Linked DNA regions of Anolis sagrei. The protein of the gene in region 2 purifies or fractionates together with the protein of the main gene of each other region. This does not show direct contact. Links are inferred from orthologs where the notes say so. Each region holds a gene or a part of one and is shown on either strand. Other genes may lie near its edges.

Region 1 (7,419 bases), about 92 Mb from region 2:
GATTTGCAGCTGAATATTAAGAGAAAACATTAAAAGAATGGCCAAAGATTATTTAAATAACTTTGAAGTGGGTGATGAAAACACTGAAAGTGTTAAGTATTTTTAATACCTTGGCTCAATCATTAATTGGAATGGAAACTGTAGTCAAGCAATCACACGAAGACTAGAACTTAGAATAGCAGTTATGACAGAATCTGACTAAAATCTCAGATGCAAAGATATATTATTTAACACCAAAATCAGGATAATCCATGCAATATAGTTTCTGATTTCTGTGTTTGGATGTGAAGGAAGGTCAGTGGAATAAGCTGGCAAAAAGATCTGTTCATCTGAAATATGATGTTGTATCTGTTTCTGAATCCTTCTTTCTTACCCCAAACCAAGCATGGCGCCAACATTTTGGACAAATGGGGAGTTCTCTTTGTGCCTAGGCCACAAAGTTACCAAGCATCCCACAACCTCTCTCCCTCCCCCTGCCACCCTTAGGGAACTGGATAATTCCTCCCACACCCATCCCCACTTCCACATCTTCTGCACAGGAAGGATGGCTGAGCACATGTCTAATTCACCAAGAGCTGAGCCACACACTTGAGATCAAACATTTTTGCTGAGTACTTCCTATATTCATTGCAAAACGGTGAAGTGTTTAAAATTAGTGTTTTAATGACACTGTTTTAAACAGTTCCCCCCTTTGACAATTTACATAAAATATATGAATTATGTTTATTTAAAATCAGTCAGCCTGGCCCACTTGGTAGACTTAGACAAACCATTATTATCTCAGCCACCAATGTGAGTTTCGATAAAATAATATTTACCTATCTTGTACAGACATTATAAGAATAATTCATAATATTTTAAAAACAATGTCAACACTATAAGGCACTATACAAATGCTGAATACTATTTAATGCTTTTAGACTGCCAGCCATTGCATGGATATGCCTTTTGGAAAAGATGGAGTGGGCAGAGAAAGACATTAATCCAGAAATGTGTTGATATACCAGGAATGTGGGAATGAACTATCGCTGTTTAAAGAAGTCAACTTATACCGTAGTTAGCATTAAGCACAGTTTGTGATGTAGTTGATTTAAACCAGGTGTAAGAGCTTTGGTTCTCCTACTCACAACCATATCAGAAAAAGACCAGGATATGTGAGCCTGAGATTTGCTGAAATTGTTTCCTGCCACAGTGGATGTGATGCTATGTCTGAATGTGGCCAAGATCTTTGGGCAATAATAGTGAGGCGGTGCTATATTTCATTTACAGCCCAGTGTGCTTTCAATATATATAACGAAGGCCACAGCCTAAACCTATCAGATCCTTGTTGAGACTTGAGTAGGTCTTTGTCCCAAGCTGAACCCAATGCAGGGGCTTCAGTTGTAAAGTGTGTATTAATAGCAACTACGAACAGAGTTCCTGCAAGGACAAACAAAATTAAGGATTTCAAAAGAGTCCTTTGAAAATTATGACTGCGGCATATATACCACCATACGCTTCACAGGCGTAACTTAAGCAAGATGACAGGCCTGTGCCCTAGGGTGCTCTCTTGTTTGGGGTCTCAAATGCCTCATAGTCAGTAACGCAGTGTCTCCTTTCCCCAACTCATATGACATGACATCCCTTCCTCCACAGACACATCATCTACTGTTCACACTGCTGATGCTTCCAGCATTTACAGAGAGGCACTGTTTTTGCAGATCCAGACAGCATGTTGCCCACATATGTTCCAGAAGTGCTCCTTCTTGTGCATTACATACTGTATGGGCAACATGCAACCACTGCAGAGGCCTCTTCCATGGGCTGTGTGGTTACCCATGCTTCTGCTGAATGTCTTGCCAGCATCATGCCACTTGGTGGACTCTATTAATTAAAGGGGAGGATGGCACATAATTAAAGGGGAGAGTAGCAAATGGAGAAATATTAATTATGTTAGTTTATTTATATCTTGTTTCTCACCCATCCCACTACTGGAACTTAGGGAGCTTGCAACAATTAAAATAGACATACATGTAAGCACATACCAATAAAAAAATGTAAGCCTTCAAAGTCTAATTAATCCAGGACAGTCAATATGGTTGAAGTCTGCATATTGGACTGATGGTTCTAGTCCAATATTACTGGATGACCAAGTCACACTTTCTCTGCCTAAGGCAGTGGTTCTCAACCTGTGGGTCCCCAGGTATTTTGGCCTACAACTCCCAGAAATCCTAGCCAGTTTATCAGCTGTTAGGATTTCTGGGAGTTGAAGGCCAAAACATCTGGAGACCCACAAGTTGAGAACCACTGGCCTAAGGAGAAGGCAATGGCATCTCCCTCTCTGCTGAACAAATCTCACCAAGAAAATGCCCTGATAGGTTTGCCTTAGTGTCACCATATGTCAGAAACAACTTGAAGGCACACAAAAGCAACAAATAATAAGACCATCAATGTAACAACAACAACAACAATCTTCATTTTTCCATGCTGGAACTGAAAAACGTGTGTGTTTATATGTGTGTGTGTAGTCCAACAAACTGTCCATTACCATTATCATTACCATGCTTATGCCTTGTAGGGAAAAACAGCTGCCTACCTTTGTTTACTGTTGCATATGCCTTGTAGTTTTTTTTCCTGATTGCTCTCTACAATGCCCAGGGGATTGTGAACAGGCATCTCCTATGTATACAGACAACTGCACATAAGGGTAAGTTGCAACATGTTGATAAGGCAACCCAATTCTAAAACCACAAATGGAATTAAATGCAAGCATCCAGATTTCACACATATTCCTCCAAATATAATTATCCATTTAGACTAGGATTCAGGCCCACTTTACAGCCGTATTGATTTATGATGTATCATAAGATTGTTTTCTGCACATTGCCCCCCCCCCCACCAACTGTTCAAGAGGGAGGGAGGGGCAGTTAATAGCACAGCCCTCTGCTATGAATCCCTTCCAAAAGGCAGTACCTCCAACTCATGCTCAGAATTTGTATCAGGCTCCGAGAAAGACATCCTGGCCCGTGGAGAGGCTCAGCAGCGATCGCCAGTCCCTTCTGCTCCCAACTGCGTGCCGGCTACACCCTCATTTCCTGCCTGTAGATTCAAACCGTTCTTTTGGCCTGTGTGCAAACAAACCACTTCCTTACAGAGTTCCTGCATTTGCTGGCAATACCGGAACCCAGGCTAACTGAAGGGAGCAACCACGGGGCCTATGTGCCCCCTGCTGACTTTCCAAACGCCATCCCTTCAACCTCCAGAGTGAATTTGAAAGGGGAAACCAAATCTAAACATTACAGAAGGGAAATACTTTTATTTGGACCAATCGAAACATAATAATATACTGTACAACTGTTGAGTCCACCAGAACTTCATTCAGCTGGAAGTAACACAAAAGAGTAACAGATAGTTGGGACATGATGATGAAGCTGCCATTTATAACACTTACATTGCAGAACCTAGGTTTTACAGAACACGTGTGTCAGATTTAATTGCATTAGACTGTACAAGAGGGGCGGGCTATTGCCAAAACTACTAAACATGCAAGCAAACAAAAAAAACTTTGTTCTGAAAAATTTGGGGTATTAAACAAGTATATGTGTGAGTGATTTCCGGAGAAGCAAAGAACCTTTTTGCCAGAAGAAGATCAGGAGTGCAAGATAGTTAAGAAGTGCTGAAATGGTGTGTGTGTGATATGTGAGCCGATGTGTACTCTACTGGATTGGATTCAGAGAGAATGAGCAAAGAATAATGTGTTAGAAGAAGAAATGTATTTTTCTCTTTACTAGTTATAAGACAGGAGAAAAGGAGTACTAGAAGATGGGTGCCTTAGACTCAGGCCAGCTGGCAGACTGTATCTTCCGTATGAGCCTGTCCAGGTCCTGAGATCCTGAAGTGAGCCTCTTCTTTTGACCCCCCCCCCCCTCACCTTCCTAAAATGGGCCCCTCCTGGCAGTCCTTTTGTTGGCAGGTAAATCCTCTTCTATTCTGGCAGGTGTTTGAAAATTAAAGGTTTCAAAAAGAAGGGCTTTTAAGAGGGCATTGTACTGTTTGAACCGTACTGCTGTTGCATTGCTTTTAACATTTTAATTGCATCTTTTCAATTGTTTTTAGTGTGGTTAATAGTTTTGTTTCACATTGTTGTTGTTTTTTAAGATTGTAGCTATGCTGTATTTGTTTTCATTTGTAAGCTGCCTTGAGTGCTGGTTTTGAGGAAAGTGTGGGGTAGAAACAAAAGTTGTGGTGATGGTGCTGATGATGATGGTAAGAAAAATGCCAACAATATGTGAAAGTGAGATCCTTACAATACTGGCCAGATAAAGTAAGAACAGGAGCATAGTTACAGTATAAGCAAAGGCTGATATTTAATATCCTGCAAGTAATGGAACTACAAAACGACATATATCTGCAGGACCACTTCTTGGGGTTTTGTCTGCCGCCAACAAAATATGCCCTCTCTAGGAATTTTCTAGATCCTCTAGGGCAGTGGTTCTCAACCTGTGGATCCCCAGATGTTTTTGCCTTCAACTCCCAGAAATCCTAACAGCTGGGGAACTGGCTATGTTCTCTGGAAGTTGTAGGCCAACACACCTGGGGACCCACAGGTTGAGAACCATTGCTCTAGGGTGTCTCCATGGTAAGTTCCATTGGCAATCATTAATTTTAATAGGGTTCAATCCACGGTTTCCTATTTAAATGGTAAATTTAGAAATGCAACCCCCTTGATGTGTCATATTGTAATTTATGCAGATGAAATGGCTACCAGTACTTTGTAACTTGCTTGAGCATTCAGATAAAGGCACTTAGTAAAAGATGAAAAACATTCTGAGAACAAAGGTATTGCAAAACAAGATACCTTTTTGGTCACTTACTTCTGTAGCTGACCATGCCTAACAATCTTTGAGGCTGTTGCCTTGTCTTAACAGACTGCCACTAAGGGCCCTTCTACACAGCACCTTAAACACGGCATTTACTGGGTTAAAAGGGGGTGGCTACATGAGACTACATGTAAATCAGCACCGATTCATTGCAACAGACTAAAAATACAGGTTAGAAAGGCCCTCTTTTATACCAATACTGGCCGGCAAATGCAGATATTCGCATTACTGTATATCCCTGCACTTGCGAAAAACACGTACTTTCTTTCTGTCTTCCCTGTTTCACATGTCCACTTTTAAAAAGCCCGAAACAGCTGATCAGTGCATTGAGCTGTGAAATGGATACACAGCTGCTATAAAGGAAGCATGAACTGAGAGCAATTAGAACCCTCTAAAACTCTTTATTTCAAACTTTGAAATGTTAAACAGAGCTTGAAAAAACAATTGGAGGAAGGGAGAAATCTGACAGAAGGGGTTTTGTTATGTGATAAACCTCATATACACACATACAAATCTGCTTATATTTATATTAAGATATTTGCACGGGCACATAATTGCATGTACGGTCCAGCGCATAATGGAGTAATTTTTTTAAAAAACCCTTCTGTCCCTCTCCATCTTGTTCTGATACAGAGGATGGCCGTGAAGAAGGCAGGGGAAACAGTACCAGGACTAACAGGTCTGTGTGGGAATCTGCAGTCAGGTTCTGGCATTTTTTAATTCCCATTTAAACCCGTATTTTTGTAATGTCTGGAAGCACCCTAATTCAACTCCTACAGAAGCCCATTGATAAGATAACACAGGTTTTTAGGGTACATTTTAAACAAAAAATAGCTTGATGCTTAGTCACATATATACATTAATCCAATTCTGCAGAAGCAGTACAGAATGACTTCTTCTTCTTCTTTGTAACTAAGTCATTAGGAACTTCCCCTGTAAGTTTTCAATTTCCAACATAGAAGCTCCTAGCTCAGTTTTGAGCAAGGATAAAGTTTAGTTCAATACATTGATTCTTGATGGGTAATCTCACAATAGAATAACAACCCCCAAACAACATTGTAAAAAGATGGGTTCACATTTAAAATTGTATGGCTTTTTAAAAGGCCACTGTTAAGGACTATTCAGTAGAAAAAGACAAAGCATGGGCCTACATAAAATACCAATTCCTCATCTGCATCCCAGATGTAGCTGCACCTCTTGCCCAAGTAAAAATACACCTAGATTTGGGATCTTGAGGAAGACCATGCATCATTCAAAATATTCTACTAGCAAATGGGCTTTGATAGTGGTGGGGATGGTGACAAAATAGAAGGATGGGAACTACCACATATACTTTTTAATTAAATAGACACGTATGAGATGTCCTCCTACAGTGTCAGGAAAAAAAACACAGGCTCATTTCCTCTCTGAAGTGCCTTTCCATATCCCAAAGGGACTGATGAGAGACTCTAATATGTTATCCTCCACCTGTGCTCTTATTTGGAAGGAAATAAACCCTGTGCAGGCCCTTGAATGTGGCACAACTCCCTGGTGAAAATCGTCCCCCAACAGTGGTAAATACAGCACAGACAGAGAGCAGCTGGAGGAATGGATCTTTAATGTGGCATTGATCCAGAGCCCCAATCCAGTTCAGGAGTCCATTCCAGATTGGGGCCCTATGTCACTGCTTTAAAAAATCACACTCACTTTAAGCATGTTTTAATAAAAACAATTAATTATACTACAAAGTGAATATAGAATTTACAGCTATCTTGGTCGCAGTGGCAGAAAAACTGCTGAAGTCATGTGACACCATTAAGTAAAAGGAAAGCTCTGGATTACTGTCACAAAGGTAAAGCAGAGATACCTTTCTGAGGTGCATCCCAATAGGCCACGTTTAAATATCCTATGGAAATATGGCAGGGAATAAAAGGAACTACCGGTATGGCTCTTTCAGCTCAGCCTTGTTGCAGTCTGATGTGTACATGTCCTGCTACCTCACTCAACTCTGCCTGGAATCAGTCCAGGTCACAGTCTCAACAGCCTCAGTACTTGCTCTGGACACCTCTTGATGCAATGCAGGAAACGGAGCGGTTGCTGACTCACGCCACTTCCTTCAGCACTGCCCCTAACATAATACTGCAGAGCTTACGACCACACAGAGACCAGAAAAAGCGGGGATCTATTTTGCTGTTGCTGCAGATGCACATTTGAAGACGACACTATGCAGCAGAAAACTAAAGCTTTGGTCCACTCTGCCTTGTGCTTTTTTCATATGCCTTGGACTTAAAAGAAAAGCTATGTGTCTGGGACAGTCACTGAATCCCTGCCTGAAGGTCGAGATGATGTATACAAGGGAAGTTGAACACATGCTCTCCACTGCCCATTTTTCACACTACTACTTGTTGATTTTCAAAATTATTACACTATGTAACATGATTTTTGCTCCTCAGTTATAAATGTCATTTCCTAATTGGTTCTATCATAAAAACATGGGAAAAGCTTTTAGTTTTTCAATGAATATCTCACTGAGTCTCAAGCAATTCAACATAGTTTGTAGTAGCCACAAAACTGAAGTTTC
Region 2 (7,453 bases):
GTCAGTGTTACTCTGGAGGTATATGCATAGTTCAGTACTAAATGCATGGACTCTGCTTCAACACCAACTATCCGAACTTCCTTCTGGGTACTCTCAGTAAGGCCACTAGTGAACATTGATCTACAAAAAGAAGATGTACGCAGTCACTTATAAAGTTTTGTTAATAAGTCAACATTAAGCCTAAACGTTTTATCAGTAGGTTGTGCTGAAACAAGGCTCATTTTTGAAATCCTTTTACAGTCAGCCCTGTACATCTGTTGGGGTTAGGGAAATAAGATCCACACAAAAGTGAAAAACGGCAAATAAAGAAATTCCATTACCTTTTACCTGAGTGAACACCTCTCTACAAATGTCTAGGGCTTCCAGCACAATTCTAGGGTCAATTTCCTCTGGAAGCTGACAATAGCAATGCACTGGAGAAACCAGAGATTACTAGAGAGGTGCTCTCCCTAGAAATCTCTAGATCCTCCAACATGACTGAAGGAAAGTGACTACAGAGTCATATTGGGAGACCAGAGATTCCTAGAGAGAGCGTTTATAACCAAAGCCATGTATATTCAAATCCACAAATGTGGAGGGAATTAATGTGCTGCCATTGCAGTCAATGTTATTCAGACAATTTAAAGTAATTGTAATTTTGTTCACCCATCCCGCAATGAGCTTTTACTATAATCATCAATAGCAGATGACTGTCACGCTAATTTGCACATATATTACCTACTACTTAGGATATAGATTGCAACATGTAAGGTGAGTTTGCTAACCACCTGAGAGAAATTGCCTGCTTATGATGAGCTGCCTACATGGCTACATGGCACGCTAATTAGTTTGTGGCTATGTTTACCTGCACAATGTGGCAACCTAACATCAGATAGCTAAGAAAGTTCATCAAGCTGAATATATGCCAAAATCAAACACATAAGAGCATATCTATACTAGCAAGCAGGTGTAGCTCAATGAGTGATATACAAAATGGTACATGAGAGTAGAATTAATTCACAGCATATCTGCCCAGGTTTTTACAATGACCAGTTGGATGAGCTCTGATGCAATGAGAGTAACTCACAATACTTGAAAGAACCTTCCTTTTTGCAATTTTCTTCCCACTGAAAATAAGCCTATTTTTTTAATCTTTGGAGTAAGTAAGAATAAATTGTTGAAAAAGGAACTAATACTCTGGAAAAAAAACACCTTGAAGAAAGAGCTAGCAATTGTAATTAAACTGTATACAGACTGTCCCTGGTAAGCCAATGTTTGAAACAGCACATTAATCAGCACAAATAACAGGACGAGATCGTGATAAAGAGCAGACTTAACCATCTACATACTCCCCAGGATCTCAAAAGCTTAGAACAAGAAAGGACTCTTCTCCATATCTTACTACAAACAGCAAATGTAAGTGCAGTATAACCAATTCTTCCAGGGAAAAAGAAATGGGATTTGTTGTTGCTTAGGATTTGCACTGCTACAAATCCTAAGCAACAACATGACACAGTATGAGAACCTGATGTCTCATACTGCGATCAATGAAGCAAACCGATAAAGATGGTAACTATGGCTGTCCAACTTTGAATATAAAGTGGAAATATTATCCTGTTTACTTCAGAATCTGTGGCTGATGTGTGGAACCTATAATACCAACTATTATAAAATGCATTTTATCAAAGTAATGGTCTAGTTATGGATTGCAATATACCTGAAATAAGGACTGATTGCAGCAAGAACGTTCCGATGACAGGAAAAGGTTTTCCCATGATCCACTTGCACAACAATATCTATTAGCTGCCCTTCATCATACATAGTTTTGAGCTGCTGGAGAATGCTGCAAGCATGGGAAGGATCCATTCCACCACTGGCTGGGGGGCTTGAGGAAGGAGTTACGTTCAATGTTTGTGAAAACTTGCTTTGTTCTGGTGAAATAAATGAAATAAACTTAGCATGCAACATAAGGAAAAGTTACAGTTGACAAATGGATCAAGAAGAAAGTCATATTTCACAGGTTGTAACCACTGGAAGCCATTCTTGATTACAGAGGGATCGTAAAATATGCCAGCTGATATTAAGATTTCTTCCCAGGGTTTCCCACAGACTACATGACATACTAGCCTGAAGCAGATTCACCTTATATCTTTTTTCATCAATCTACTTGAGGCAAATGCCTACACAGAAACTAAGACCCAAAAATAAAATATTACACTGAAAAAAAAATCAGCTATTGGTCATGGAAACAAAGATTAAATACCATAGGCTAAATCTAATGTTAGACCCACTGAAATCAGTGGGATGTATTTGAGTGGTTGACTAACAAGGGCTAGCTATTTCAATGGGCTAACTCTATCTGGAATTAAGATTGATTTTGGCCTCTTACCCTATCCTGGAATTGCTTTGCTCTACACTTAGACGTTAATCAAGTGTTGCTATTTCTCCAAGTTCCAACAATACCAAATATGATGATAACCCATCATATAAACCACTGCTTACGTTAACTAATTTGCTACTAAAGCCATAACCCCAAACAGACAACACAACCATGGCTTGTCTTTTCCAGGTCTCATTTGTTTGTCTCATAACAACTGTCAACTCCTGTTTATGTGATGGGAAATATGGAAACAGCTACGGTCAAGTCCTGGCTGTGGATCTGGATACAACAAGTCATCATTTGCTGTTGTGTGCCATGTCCAGAGCTTGGTTTATGGCTGATTGATTACAAACAGTGGCAGGTTTGCAAATGGAACAAGCTGGATTTTAGCAAATGACACCAAGGCGTTGTAACAGGGCAATCTCTACAAGAGCAGCATGCTCCCCGGCATGCTACTAATTAAAGAAAGGGAGAGAAAAAAGATAGGGGTAGGATGCAGACAAGAAAGAGGGTAATTCTGAACCATACAGAGTAGCCAGTAGTGGGTCACCTTCACTGCACAACTACCAAATTCAGTATAAGTCAACCCCATTTTGAGGACAGATTTGGTGGCCAGAATTATGGATTTTGCTACAATATACACATTTACCTGTTGATAAATTGACCCAGATTTTGGGGTTGATTTTTTGAGTAAAATTTTGAGTATATAGGGCACATTACAATAGCTCAGCTCAAAGACAGTTCAGATAATTCCTCATCATCCTGTCACTGAAAATAAATTAAAACATTTAGTTACAAGTTTGGAAGCAATTTAAAAATAACTATTCTCATATCTTAAATACCAAGCAACAGTAGATGAATTTTCACATGCTTTGACATAAGTACCCTAGTTTCAAAATTAACACCTTATTCACATTTTATATTCATGTTTTGAACTTTACTCAATTGCCTACTATGAGAAGCCAATCTGTATTGAGCAAGAAGATTTGCTGTTCAACCTTCTGTACACCACAAGCTAGCAACCAAAGCTGGTAAAACTTTACAAGGCCTGCTTAGTATTTCACCTTTTATCATCATAGCAGAAATATGCTAATTTATGTAATCAAATGACAAAAAACAACACATAGGGGTACATCATGTACTCCAGCTGTCATGATTTGTGACAGGATTGAAAATATCCCTGACATAATTACATTCCATCCAATTGTCTTAGAAATTATGTCTCAGCTATTAACACAGAATGAGAAAAAAAAACTAAGTCTAAATAGTTTGCAAGGAGTTCCTGGTAAAATGATAACTAGAAGCCCTTGAAATATAAAGCTTGCCTTGTTAAAGCAAGCAAACAAGCAGCATTTCCAGAAGTGGGACAATGAGGTGTCTGAAAGCGCTAGAAATCAGGTAACTGAGCAAGCTGGAAAAACACCTTAACTGGATCCTAACTGGGAAAACTCCTGCTTCAACCATACTGCCTGTGAATTCTTTATAAACCTACTCTAGTCATCCACTCAAACGTTTCTATCTTTTAATGCTGGAAATTGACAGGACCTTTGAGACTGAGGGGACATGTACACTATATAATGCAGTTTGACACCACTTAACTGCCATAACTCAATCCTATGGAAACCTAGGAGCTTTAGTTTTACAAGGACTTTAACTTTCTCTGACAAAATGGGCAAGTGCCTCACCAAACTTCAACTTCCATGGGTCCTTAGCATTAAACCACGAGGCAACAACATTGAGATATGGCAGTTAAAGGGGTGCAAAACTGCATTAATTCTACAATGTAGTTGCCCCCGGAGATTTAAAAAAAGTTGTTAGCACCCCTTTCTTACATAAATAGTTATTTTGGGGTTGAATACATCTATGGCAGGAACTCTCATTCTAGTCTCCTTGTTTTTTTCCTTAATAACACAAAGGGGAAGACCCCAATGTCAACATATATGAGAAACAAAAATGGAGAAAGAACTTGTTCCTGTTTAGCAAAAATGTTCAGTCTTGCACACATTTGAATTTAATCCATTGAGGATACAATTTTACACAAGCTCAGCACAAGAAAACATCACCAAATGTAAAACTGTAGATAAGACTTGTATGGCAAAAATTTGTTAATTGAATGGCTGTATGAACTAAAATTAAAAAAAAATTGAAACATAACCCCATATGCGTTTACTCAGAAACAAGTTCCTGTAGCTCCATATTATTCCTCTATCAATGTTTTTAGGATTATTGTCTTATTCCTGAGCAAATCTATTAAGGAACAATAAAATATGCTTATCTTAGGAACAGATGTATTAACACAAAAATGATCAAACATTCATATGCAGGCCTAAATCCTCTTTTAGTCCAAACTAAGTAGACACAATGAATCCGTTAAATGTATCTCTGTGTTGACTCAAAATTTAACAATTGAATGAATGGGCTGTTTTGAGTCCCCTTTGGGGGAGATAAAGCAGGATATAAATAAATAAATTAAAAAAATCAATATAATAATAATGATGATGATGATGATGATAATGGGTCTGCTCTAGTTGAGACTACCAACAGGATGAAAGCCGTAGCGAGTCAATAAACCAAATCACAACCTGTCAACCTGTACTGGGGAGTAACTTTTTAAAAGAGTTAATCATCTCCAAAAACAGTAATTTAACAAATGCTAAAATATCAATAGGCCCCTCAATCCATGGGTTTTAACTCAATTAATACAAACCACCAATAAGCCCAATTGAACCTGTCAACATATACAGGGGGAAGAGAGGAGTTGCATTGCATTTCCCCCCTCTCCCTAGGATACATATATCCTTAAAAGGATTTAAAGATTCAAATGGTAGAGAGGTAGCTTGAAATTAAAACGTAAACTTTTGAGAGAGGTTTACAATTATGTGATCAACAAAGCATGCTGTGCATTACTAAGCAGAGGCGACAATTTGAACAATAGCAACTGAAGATATACTCTGAAATCCAGATTAAATCAGAAGTATAACATTTATTCTTGAAAATAAATGCATTTACTTAGCCTTTAAATAATCACCATAGCTACTATTAACTATTAAAGGGTATGTATATGTGTGTATGCATACACAATATATATATACACATACATATAAAAATAGACACACAAATATATACAAATATACACACATATATGCAAATATATATATATATATATACACACATGTATACACACATATATACATACACACATATAGGATACAAATATATACATATCTACACACATATCTATATGCATAGATACATATATAAAATTTATACATGCATATCTACACAAATACGAGTGCATATATAAATACACACATAGTATACAAATATATATATATATATGCACACATATCTTTATGCATAAACAGATATATATATATATATACACATGTCTGCTGCTCGCACATATATTAACACACATAGACAAAAACCTGTATAAATATATATACACACATCTATGTATAAGCATACACACATCTATGTATGTATAAGCATACACACATCTATAAATATATACATTTACAAATATTTATAGACATATGAACATGAATATAAATTCACAAATATATACATATATCTAAAATACATGTACACACATATCTATTTATCACACACATCTATACTCACATATATAAATACATATATTTACATACACACATCTCTCTATACATACACACATATAAATATCTATAAATACATATATGTCTACACATACACATATACTCTCCCACACATATATGAGATATATAAATATATATATTTACATACATACCTCTACACACACCCAAATATATACATAAATAAACATGTCTACACAAACATACACATATACTCACACACATGTTTATACACACTCATTCATATATATATATATATATATATATATATATACACACACACACACACATATATATACATATATTTGCATACACACATATCTGTAGAGCAGAGGTTCTCAAACTAAGGCCCAGGGTCCGAATGTGGCCCTCCAAGGTCATTTACCCGGCCCTCTCTCAGGTTCAACCTAAGTCTGAAACTACTTGAAAGCACACAACAACAACAACAACAACAATGCTATCTCATCAGGCAAAAGCAGGCCAACGCTTCCCATTGTAATACTAATAAGTTTATATTTGTTAAAATTGTTCTTCATTTTAATTATTGTATTGTTTTCAGCAGGTTTTTTTGCACTACAAACAAGATATGTGCAGTGTGCATAGGAAATGATTCATATCTTTTTCAAATTATAATCCGGCCCTCCAACAGTTTGAGGACTGTGAAGTGGCCCTCTGTTTAAAAAGTTTGAGGACCCCTGCTGTAGTGTTCCCTCACTTATCATGGGGGTTCTGTTCCAGGACCACTCACAATAAATGAAAGTCCGTGAAGTAGGGACACCATATTAATTTTAATATTTATATATTATTTTATATATTTTATATATTATTTTCTTACCCGTGCTTCCTTACCCACCTCCTGGCCCAACCCAAGGGCACTTGCCTGCCTCCTTGGCCTCCGCAGAGCCTCCGGAGCTATGCAGGCAGCAGCAGGCCAGGGAGGCAGGCCTTCCCCGCCGCGCCTCAGGCCTCTGCACTTCCGGGGTCTGTGGAGGCCAGGGAGGCAGGCCTTCCCCACCACTCCTCAGGCCGCCACACTTCCAGGGTATGTGGAGGTCAGGTAGGCAGTCCTTCCCCGCCACGCCTCAGGCCGCCACATTTCCAGGGTATGTGGAGGTCAGGTAGGCAGTCCTTCCCCGCCGCACCTCAGGCCTCTGCACTTCCGGGGTCCCTGGCCTCCACTGAACATAAATATTTAATATTTTTATTAATATTTTCAAAACCCCGCGAAAGAGCGAGTCTGCTAAAAGCGAACCGCAAAGTAGCGAGGGAACACTGTGTATACGCACATATACATATCTATAAATACGCATGTCTACAGAAACATACACATATACTCACACACGTACGTTTATACACACACATAAATGTAAATACATATATTTACACCCACAATTCCATCGTAGGTGGAGTTCAGAATGCTCTTTGATTGTAAGCTAACTATAAATCCCAGCAACTACAACTCCCAAATGACAAAATCACA

What was found.
Region 1: the proteins of KBTBD8 (region 2) and PKN1 purify together in Homo sapiens (affinity purification with western blotting; 3 studies listed by BioGRID and IntAct, with this or other methods). This does not show direct contact. The link is inferred for Anolis sagrei from reciprocal best matches to the Homo sapiens genes KBTBD8 and PKN1.

What each region holds. Positions count from the first base shown.
Region 1 is NC_090022.1:128,247,692-128,255,110, reverse strand, and holds the start of PKN1 (serine/threonine-protein kinase N1), read right to left. Parts: upstream 3,058-7,419; 5' UTR 2,998-3,057; coding exon 2,953-2,997; intron 1-2,952. UniProt on the Homo sapiens protein: PKC-related serine/threonine-protein kinase involved in various processes such as regulation of the intermediate filaments of the actin cytoskeleton, cell migration, tumor cell invasion and transcription regulation.
Region 2 is NC_090022.1:36,115,706-36,123,158, reverse strand, and holds the start of KBTBD8 (kelch repeat and BTB domain-containing protein 8), read right to left. Parts: upstream 3,003-7,453; 5' UTR 1,948-3,002; coding exon 1,697-1,947; intron 121-1,696; coding exon 1-120. UniProt on the Homo sapiens protein: Substrate-specific adapter of a BCR (BTB-CUL3-RBX1) E3 ubiquitin ligase complex that acts as a regulator of neural crest specification.